Linked DNA regions of Canis lupus familiaris. The protein of the gene in region 2 purifies or fractionates together with the protein of the main gene of each other region. This does not show direct contact. Links are inferred from orthologs where the notes say so. Each region holds a gene or a part of one and is shown on either strand. Other genes may lie near its edges.

Region 1 (3,521 bases), on a different chromosome or scaffold from region 2:
TTCTATCTTCCAAATTCTAAAAAAATTAGCGTTTTTTTTTTTTTATAGGGCAAAATTTACTTACCCTTGTCTCCATTGTAAGTGCAAATACATGGCAATTTTTCTTGTGGATTCCATAACCTAACAGTGCCATCTGCTGAACAAGACAGTAATTGATTTTTTATGCCACTATAAGCAAGACCCCAGACAGCATCTGTATGTGCAACTAAAGTGCCAGCTAGAACATTTGGCTCTGGGAAGAAACAACAAACAAACACAAATTAGCTAAAAGAAGTTGGAAAAAAATGTTTTGGATAAAGATAACTCACCATATAATTAAGTATAAAGACTACCCATAATGGTCATAAGAAGAACTGAAGTGGTCATCTTTAAATTGTGGAATTATGGGTTATTTTTTATCCCCACCATAATTCTTTCCTGTATTCTTGGAATTTTCTATAAAGAACATACACTTTCAAGAAACAGCTTTAATGAAATATAATTCCCGTATCACATAATTCACCAATTTAAAGTGTATAATTCGAGGGGGCACCTGGGTGGCTCAGCTGCCCAATGCCTAGCTTTGGCTCAGGTCATGATCTCAGGGACCTGGAATCAAGCCCCATGTTGGGCTCCACAGCAGGGAGTCTGCTTGTCCTTCTCCTTGTGCCCCTGTCTGCCCCCACTCTTGCTCGCCCTCTTTCTCTCTCAAACAAATAAAATCTTAAAAAAAAGAAAGTGTACAATTCAATGGCTTTTATTATACAATCGATTTGAGGACATTTCCATCACTTATTAGCCATTCCCACCCCCCACTGCCAATTCTTCCTGCTTTTCTGCAGCCCACATAACCACTAATCTACTTTGTTTCTCTAAGTTTGTCTATTCTGGACATTTCATACAACTGGCCTTTCGTGACTGGCATAATGTTTCCGAGGTTCATCCATGCTATAGCATGTCTCTCAGTACATGAGAGACATGCTATAACATTCTTTTTTTTTTTTTAAAGAATTTCTTCTAAATGCCAAATAATATCCATTGAATAGATATACTACATTTTACGTATCCATTTACCGTTTGATGGACATGGTGGCTAATAATAACACTGTGCACCATCTGGCCTACAATCCTGTTTCTTTAGAAAATTCCGACTTCCCACAACTATTTCTTATTATCTCCAGAATTTTCAGTTTCCAACTTCCCTTCTTCAGAATGATTATCTCTGATTATCGATTTCACTGAGAAAATACAGCAATGAAATTAAGAACCCCTCTCCTGTCTTTCCTCCACTCAATCTACTTACTAGTGTCTAGAGCCACCTTACTCCTTGCTTCCAGATAGAAGAACTGTCTACTTTCTTCTCAAATGATAATTCTATCAGGTAAATTCTGGATTCCATTCAACCTACTAACTTGCTTTCATGTTTATAGTTTCCCTACTATACAATAATTCTCCTTCTCCTTAGGATCATTACCACAGCAAACAAATATGCTCTAGAATCTACTGACTCAAATAAAAACCTTGTATCACCCTTCCAACAGATAGCAGAAGAGCATATTGAGTAAAATGCTTTTTTACCTTTCATTCACTCTCTAAATCAGTGTAACATGGTTTCTCATAGCATCACTACACCAAAATAACTTTTTTTCCACCAAAATAACTCTTGCTAAAATCACCAATGACAAACTTTCTTCTAACAAGTTTAATAAAATTTTTCTTTTCTTAGATTATTTATTTGAGAGAGTGAGAAAACAAAAGAGTAAGCATAGAGGAAGAGGGAGAGGCAGACTCCCTGCTGAGGAGAACCTGTTATGGGGCTCCTTCTCAGGACCCTGTGATCATGACCTGAGCCAAAGGCAGACACTTAACCGACTGAACCACTCAGGTTCCCCAAATTTTTCTTTCTTTGAACATTTCTTTTCTTGGTTATTCTCATCACATTGCTTTTCATCCAGAGTGTGCCTTGAAAAGTTGCCCACAGGTCCCTTCACCCTCTGCTCTGATCTTAGTCCCAGCATCCAACCTCTCGCTAAGACCCAGGTGACCTATTTGTCATATAAAAAAAAAAAAGGAACTTTGCTATCTATCCTCATATTAGACCTCTTAGCAAAATATGAAAGTGCAGATTGCTACCTTGTTCTCAAAATGTTTTTTTCTTTTGGCATGCTTCCATGATCCCACATTTTCCTGTACCTCCTCCTTCCTCACAGGCCACTCGTTCTCAGTTTTCTTTTTTTATAAGATTTTATTTACTTATTCATGAGAGACACACAGAGAGAGAGAGAGAGAGAGAGAGGCAGAGACACAGGCAGAGGAAGAAGCAGGCTCCACGCAAGGAGTCTGATAGGGAACTCGATCCCGGGACTTCAGGATTATGCCCTGGGCCGAAGGCAGGTGCTCAACCGCTGAGCCACCTTGGTCTCTCTCCTTCTCAGTTTTCTTTGCTGGCTCTCCTGCTCTAGTCACTCTCCCAATGTCAGAGTTCCTCCGTACTTGCCTTCCCTTTGTGCCCTGCACAACATAACTTCCCCTGTGTTATACAATCCATTCTCCTATCTTGATTATTAACTACTTGATAGTAGTAACCTGAACATGACTGAAATCTAAAGCCATCATCTTTAATCTTTTCACACCTGTTCTGCCCCCATTTCAATATGCTACCATTATATACCAACTGCTCATGTCAAAAAAATTCAGAAGTGGTGATAAAAATGTCCTGAATTAGTGGTGATGGATGCACAGTCCTGTGAATATAATAAAAACTACTGAACTGTATACATAAAAAAGGTGAATTTTGTCATGTGAATTATATCTTAATAAAGCTGTTTTACAAAGTAACAAAATTAAGAATCACTTACCCATCACTTTGTCCACTCAATCACTATCCACTTTATCACCAGATTCTGCCTATCCTATCTACTTCCCAGTGCATCCCAAATCCGTTTCTCTCCCAACCACTCTGCTACCAACTGCTTCACTGTCCTCATGACCATGGAAACATCACCTTTCACCTAGTCTACTAGACCCTTACACTACAACTTTACATTATAACATTATATTTGTATTCTTTTCTTCACTTTTCCCACCCCAATCTATTCTCCTTATAATAACCAGAGTCACCTTTTAAAATCCACCTTTACTGGTCACTTCCTGGCTTAAAATTCTTTATTAAAAGCTTCTTTTTTTTTTTTAAAATAATTTACTTATTTATTTATCTATTTATTTATCTGAGAGAAAGAGAGAGAGAGTGAGCGAGCGAGCAGGAGGAACAGAGGGAAAAAGAATCTCAAGCAGACTCTGTGCTTAGTGCAGAGATTGTCCCAGGCTCAGTCCCACGACACTGAGATCATAAACTGAGCCAAAACCAAGAGTCAGACACTCAAATGACTGAGCCACCAGGAACCCCTGAAGGTTTCCTTTCATCCTTTAGATTTTGTCTTAAATGTCACTGTTTTGGACTATATCTAAAGAGACTCTCTTTCATATTACTTTTATCTTCATACTGTTTATTACAATTTCTAACCACAGACTCCACTCCCTAG
Region 2 (3,521 bases):
ATGAAGAGCAGGGAAAAAATGTCAAACTGAAGCATTTAAAAACAATCCAATAGGCTTCTTCATTTTCCCTGTAAGTAAGGACCAAATCAAATGTCCTCATCTTTTCACTTTTTTTCTTTACATGAAGAAATGGGAGAGGAGTTTCCATTCCAATACCTGGTGGCTGAAAAGAGTGCAAGCACGCACATATACCTGCATGATTCTGCAGGAGAAGGTAACAAGGGTACGCATTACAGAAGTCTTCCAACTTATCTGTCTCAACAACTCTTTACAAAATCCCCCAACTGTCCAAAATACTACCTTCTCTAAAAGACCAGTCTACCCTCAGGAAAATAAAAAAATGACATCACAGTGGCCGTAAGATACCTACCCCATAAGGCAGCACACAGAATCTCGGAGTTAAATCTCTTCTTATATTTACGAATCTCCGGGGTATCACTCTGTGGCCTAGTGTTGGTGGGATTCACATTGACCACTGAGCCCTTCCGGGTAGGATCTTGCCTTATGGCTTCTGGTCTCATTCCATCACAGGAAAATCCCACTAGAACAGAGTACAATTGAAATTATCTTCTGTACACACAAATGCTGCATCTGTCTCCCTCTCCTACCACATCTAAAGTAAATATTCATATGCTATAATGTCAAGGAAAAGAAATTTGTAAGAAATGTATATGGAAAAGGGAAACTGACTATGCAGCTCATTGCAAGTAAAGCAATGCAAACGAGATGGGTGTTTCTGTATCCGAGGTCTGTGCCTGCACACCACCACCACGTCATGCCTAAGCCATCAGAAAGAGCAACACAAAGTGACCGAGTCCTATTTGTCAGCTGCTTTCTTGTCGCTGGTTTACTTACCCACAGAAGTCACTGTTGTCCCACTAGATGGAGAAATCTGTAGTAATCTGGGGTCTATAAAAGGTGTAAAGGAGGAGGAAGATTTGTGTTTCTGGAGTGTGCTACTAGCGGACTGAGTCTGCAATGTAAATTTCAATTTTATTAATACAAATGACATTAAAAAGATGAACACAAAACATTTCAAGCCACTTCTCTACTGCACAGTTTCCCACTAGCAAGCCCTGTCCCTCCTGCATCATTCCCCCCAAAAGCTCTCTGGGGGAGGGGGGCTCTGCATGTGCACAACACACCCCACCAACAGGCCGTACAACCTGGAACCACCAAAAGAGCTACATCTCTTTTCAGAAATACTGTTCATCTAAGACAGGAATGCTGCGAACTACCAACAAAATCTATATTTCACGCTCCTAGGTTTTTTGTTTTTCTTTTTAAGTAAATAATTAAAACAAAAACTCCTAAAGGAGGTTTGAAATGTCTATCTTAATTCATCAATTTCTGAATTTACTCCTCTGTCTAAAAGAGGCCAATTAACCTATGTTGGAATATTGGCAAATCTTTACTTTGTATTATTTAACGTGAGCCTCTTGCCAGAAAGCTACAGAAGCTTTGGCTACCACCGTTTTAGGTGCATCATCAGTAAACCCATATTGAACAGGGGCTCATTAGTGAAAGGTGCAAACGACAAGATATGGTACATACTTTAGCTCTTTTAGGAGCACTAGTGTTTTGGTTAATAGTGTAACTTAAGACAAAAAAAAAAAAACACAAAGAAAGTGAAACAAATTGTTAAGTGGAAATGTAATGACAATTAAAAACAAAACAAACAGAAAAATAAACTTGCCAGTTTAGTGAGTTAAGGGTTATAGTAAATACTGTACATTAGAGCAAGATGGAGCCAAGTTTAAATATAAATATAAGGAGAAATGTTGAGTGTAGGTGGCATATATCACTGGAGAAAAAAAGAACACTTCCGATCAAGTGCTTTAGTCCTGAAATCTTTCGCCCTCCGTGGGCAGCTAAAAGTCACCGTGTGCTAGAGCCCAAGCCTGCCCAGGTTCCCAGGCTTTCTCCTCCCACTGGATATAGCCGCCTGCTGGCAAGCTTCCCACCCTGCCCTATGACCAATGGCCAGTCCATCCAATGGCCAGTCTTATGCAAGCCCACCTTACTTGCCCCTGGCTCCTCAGGGGGAAAGAATTATATTCTGATTCTTTCTAAAAAGGGAACCAACACAGGAGCAGGTAGATACAGGCTGGGAGTAAATGTTTACATTAACAAGACTGGCTGAAGCTACGTGCCACTTTCAACCTCGTTCAACTGTTAGACAAGTGCATTTCAACCAAACTTCCCAAGAAATCAAACTGCTTGTTTTAATTTAGTATAGGGTGCTCAAGGGGGACTCTCTCACTGCACTGGGGGCATAATCTTGTTCCAAAGAGCAAAGCATCACCCAACTAGTACCCAGACTGAGTGAGCACCACAGCCAAGCCTTCAAACGAGCACACAGGATTTCCCACTCAAAATTTTAAATTAAAAGCATGCTCAGATCTTTGCTCTTAACACCCTAATTTTCTAGATTTCCCTAAAAATCATTTGGCCTTTACTTAAACTCTGAGTGATTGCAAATAAGTCCTTTTTAACAGAGTGGGTGAAAACAAAGGATTAACCAATCAACAATCTTCCCCCATCAAAAACAAAAAGCAACCCAGGCCTATTTGAAGGAGATTCCTATAGAGGATAACAAGCGTGTCCAGATAAGGCCAAGTCAGCTTAACCAATTTTTTCTGTATTTTATTTTTCAGATAAAAAGAATCAAAAAAGCAGATTCCACAAAGGACTACAAGAATTTCATGCCAAATACATAATGGATCTGAGAACACAGCATTTTATTTAGACTTTTATAAAATAAACTGAATAAAGAAGCCATGCAACTACACTTATCTAGAGAAAAGTAAACAGTGAACTGGCAAGTTGGAGGGACATTGATCTAGGGTTACGGGATTTGTATGCAGATCTGAGACATGTTACTTGGGGTTGGGGAGAAGGGTAGGTGACAGAAGAAAGCAGGTGGGGAGGGAGGGGTGAGGGGCGTGGGAAAGGTCTCCTCTGCAAACTAACTACTAGGCAGTGCTGGTCAAACCCTAGGAAAGCAGCCAGCTGTGGTGCGAGACATACCTCATTAGTAGTGAGCTTGTCCTGGGGTGTCTGTGGGGACATGGTGGGTGTCGGCTGGCTGGAGGATGGGGAGGAGGAGGTGGAGGAAGTGGAGGAGGAATGGCTTTGCTGTAAGAGATCTGGCAAGAGGTGAATGCGACCGGCAAAGCCATTGCTCTCATGATGGCTGGCGCGCTTTTGGTCAACTGTACTCTGTAGAAAAAACAGGCACACTCGTCTCGCTCAAGCGCTGCTGAAATTCCCTATGACCCTACTGATAACTGACTTTAAGGTGCTGTGTGACTTTTCAAACTCTGTTAAGTTATCAAGGAAAGACCGGAGGAAACTGGCCGGAATTGTTCACACTTCCTCGCCAAATGCCTCGCCTGAGCCAACAGAATTCAAAGTACCTCATCTGGTGGCCATGGGACTTGAGCAGTGACTACCTAATCTGGTTTCTCTGCCGCACTAGCTATTGTTACCAAAACCACTCGCCTTTTTTTTTTTCTTTA
Region 3 (3,521 bases), on a different chromosome or scaffold from region 2:
GCCTTCTAGGCATTTTACTCACCTTGGGGTGTGTGAAGGAAAGTTACTAACTGAAAAGATTATTACCTAGAATTAATAGCCTATAGAAAGCTACCGTGACTCTCCTCTTCTGCAGTTGATCCAAGTTGTTTCTGATAACACTGACTATATTTAAACAAAATATGTGGATCAGAGAACACCGGACAAGTGCAAATTTCTAACCCTGGCTGGGTGGCCAAGCTGGAGGTGGTCCAATTTCTTCTGAAAAATCTGTCCTGTCCTTCACTGGGAGGCAGACCGAAGGTTTAACATTATTTTAAGAGATGCAGTAAATGTTGCTATTTATTCCTTGAAAATAAATAACCTCATATTGACCCATTGTATTGACCTCCATTGATTTAGGAAATGGATAGTTTTTCTGCATTTAAAGGTATGAGCTTAATGTTGCTTAAGAGACATTAAGTGCTTTACCAAATACAATGTGCCAATTCCACTTCGTATTCAAATTACAGTACTCTAGTGAAGTTTTCCAGTAACCACATATAGCTACTTCACGATTTTTTTTTCCTTTAAAGAAATGAGTATAGTGACCAAACCAAAGTACAGTTTGTGTGGGTTTGAATTCCAAAGCAATAGTAGTATCATAACAGCATTTCCCCCCCAGAAAGTACCAAAGTATCAAAGGTGCTATTTGACAGGCATTTTCTTTCTAAAGGATCCTCAAGAGATTTGTTATTCTATTAGCTGACTCTCTTGAGGCTAGAAGTCTTTTGAAGGATTTTTTATATGATTTCCATTATATATGCTGCTGTTTTAGGCATAAATACGAAGTGAAAAACTGACATTATTTCAACAGAGACAAACTCTTTCAAGCCCGACTATCATAAATTTGGTTTCTCATTTGAACTTGTGTTTCAGTAAGGACACGGGGAAAAAAGCTTAACCTAGAAGATCAAATTGATAACATGAGCAGACAAAATCGTTGCGAACATCAAATGGTGTTTTCATACATATTCACAGTCCTCTGCTTTTCCTCCTTCCCACAAGTGAATATTCCATTTACTGTTAACTATTCAAATTAAACACGTTTGATATTTAAGTCAAACCTTTTAAGTCATAGAAAATTAAAAATATTGTGAAGTTAGTATTAAATCTATAAAACTGCCTTAAATCAATACTCCCCACCCCACCCCACCCCCCGCCACTAAAGTTGATGCTACCTGAGAATCAGCAAGGCTCTTTTTATCAGTTGTAATTAGAAAAAAATAATACACTTGGGGAGAAAATTCAAGTTGTAAAACCTAACTAGGCAAAAAGAAGTATGACTTTCTCCCTGCCCAGACTCCTCCTAGGTGTATTTGTCCCTCCCAGGAGCTGCTCACCGTTAATTTGGTTTCTAGTGTATTAAAATACACTAAAATACCTTAAAAGGTGTTTGATTTTACTGGGATGAAGGCCTACCATTATATTTAAAATGAAATGTTTAAGTGTATAAATCTGTTTTGAATTGGCCTTCTAGGCATGACCCGGTGTTTTTGTTGCCACCTGAAACACTTTCTCTCAGGCACTCTTGCTAAATGGCTAGGAATGCCTAGATGCCACAAGCCTGTGGCAGGATAACAGGTGTTTTCAGGAGTGCTGACAAGCTGGCAGGTTTAAGGCAATACCTAAACATCCTTATGTACAAATGAATTCATATTTGGGAACTTTTAAAATCAGGACAGACTAGGGGAAAGAAGTATGAGTCCTAAGGTTGGTGTGTGCAGCCTACATTTTATATTCTTGACAGAAACCCAGCAGGTGGGATCTGTGGAAATTATCAAGCTCCTACTTCAGTGGAGAAAAATGTTTATTTTCTCCATTTAGGTATATGGTTTTATTTTGGAGTCAGCTTTCTGTAATCCCTGAGGGATGACTTTTTGTGATATTATAATACTTCTGTTATGGTCATACAGACAGCATAATTTTATTTTCTCTTTGTGATTGTTTGAATAGGATATCAAGCCCATGAGAGATCAGATTGTCAGAGTGAAGAGATATGAAAAAGTCCCACTGATCCTAGTGGGAAATAAAGTGGATCTGGAACCAGAAAGAGAGGTTATGTCTTCAGAAGGCAGAGCTCTGGCTCAAGAATGGGGCTGCCCTTTCATGGAAACATCGGCAAAAAGTAAATCAATGGTGGATGAACTTTTTGCTGAGATCGTCAGGCAAATGAACTATTCATCCCTACCCGAGAAGCAAGATCAGTGTTGTACAACTTGCGTTGTCCAGTAAAAAAAAAAAAAAGAAACCTCAATCATGGCCATACCGAGCAGGTTAGTTGTCAGTGGAAACTTATGAGTCCAAGAGTGTTTTGATTTTGATCGAATATGACAAAAAGCTGGTTAATATTAATACACATTGTGCTACCTTCAATTTCCTTATTTGTTTTTAAAATAACATTTCCCTTAGCACAAAATAGTCACCATGCAATGAAGAAAATAGAGATAAGCAAAATGAAGGTAAGAGATTTCCTGTATTCCTATCACTAAGATATATTTTTAAAAGTGAATTAACTGTTCTCTTTCTGCTTCATTGGTAACATTCCTTTGGGTGGGGTGAGTTAAAGGATAATACACCTTTTCCCTGTTCTAGTGATTTCACACATCCAATAATAATTTCAGAAGATGATTGGTTTTATGTTTTCGGCACTTTTCTGTCCCAGGCTAGAGAGCTGCTATAATTGAAATCATCAATTTACTAATCACCCAAGTGCTTGATTTAATAGGATGATTATTTAATCAAGTTCATCTGTACCTTGCACTTAAGAGATTTAAGTGACCTCTGATAATAACAAATTGTAGTGCCACAGCTTACCTTGACTTCATTATGAATATATGGTCCAATTGAGAATCTGGTAAAATCATCTGTGTTGTGTTAGAAGAGACACACCCAAGCCCAGGCAACGTTTTATTCAGTTTAATAAATAATGGAGTTATTAAGAACATTAACAAGACCTTCACACCTTTCATTGAGTTGAATGATAACTTCATAAAAGTTTTTTCAGATGAATGAGTTTTTGAAAAAGCAAGGTTACATAAGACTTACTGAGCATTTTAAATGGGATTCTTTTATTCATATCATGATCTTTTAATCTAGATTATAATTGGACAGATAGTCTCACTTAGATAGTAACCCTTACATAACAAGATAAAACAACCAATATCCTGGATGACTGTGAAACCACAGCAAATGGCTGACTAGCCTGACAATCTCAGGACTGGAATTGATTGTTTTGAGCCAGGACTGACCTCAAGTCTAGGAGGCAGTGTTGCAAATGGCAACAGGCATTTCAGATTGCAGTGATGATTCCTAATCAAAGGTCTGGCTTTATATGTGCTCCCTGAAGAAAAGAGTAACCATCCCTAATTTATCTTTTCAGACAGATACTGTCAGGTACTGTTACCTTTGAAAATGAAGGATGACAACAGTGCTTTATTCAAAATGCTTTCACACATCAGCTATTTAGCATACTGGAATATGATGAAAACACATTTATTTTC

What was found.
Region 1: the proteins of MAP4K4 (region 2) and STRN3 purify together in Homo sapiens (affinity purification with mass spectrometry; 4 studies listed by BioGRID and IntAct, with this or other methods). This does not show direct contact. The link is inferred for Canis lupus familiaris from reciprocal best matches to the Homo sapiens genes MAP4K4 and STRN3.
Region 3: the proteins of MAP4K4 (region 2) and RAP2C purify together in Homo sapiens (affinity purification with mass spectrometry; 3 studies listed by BioGRID and IntAct, counting the BioPlex papers as one, with this or other methods). This does not show direct contact. The link is inferred for Canis lupus familiaris from reciprocal best matches to the Homo sapiens genes MAP4K4 and RAP2C.

The regions. Positions count from the first base shown.
Region 1 is NC_049229.1:10,381,929-10,385,449, forward strand, and holds part of STRN3 (striatin-3), read right to left. Parts: intron 233-3,521; coding exon 65-232; intron 1-64. UniProt on the Homo sapiens protein: Calmodulin-binding scaffolding protein which is the center of the striatin-interacting phosphatase and kinase (STRIPAK) complexes.
Region 2 is NC_049231.1:42,160,818-42,164,338, forward strand, and holds part of MAP4K4 (mitogen-activated protein kinase kinase kinase kinase 4), read right to left. Parts: intron 3,223-3,521; coding exon 3,031-3,222; intron 974-3,030; coding exon 856-973; intron 542-855; coding exon 371-541; intron 1-370.
Region 3 is NC_049260.1:104,062,656-104,066,176, reverse strand, and holds part of RAP2C (ras-related protein Rap-2c), read left to right. Parts: intron 1-1,974; coding exon 1,975-2,253; 3' UTR 2,254-2,294; intron 2,295-3,521. UniProt on the Homo sapiens protein: Small GTP-binding protein which cycles between a GDP-bound inactive and a GTP-bound active form. May play a role in cytoskeletal rearrangements and regulate cell spreading through activation of the effector TNIK.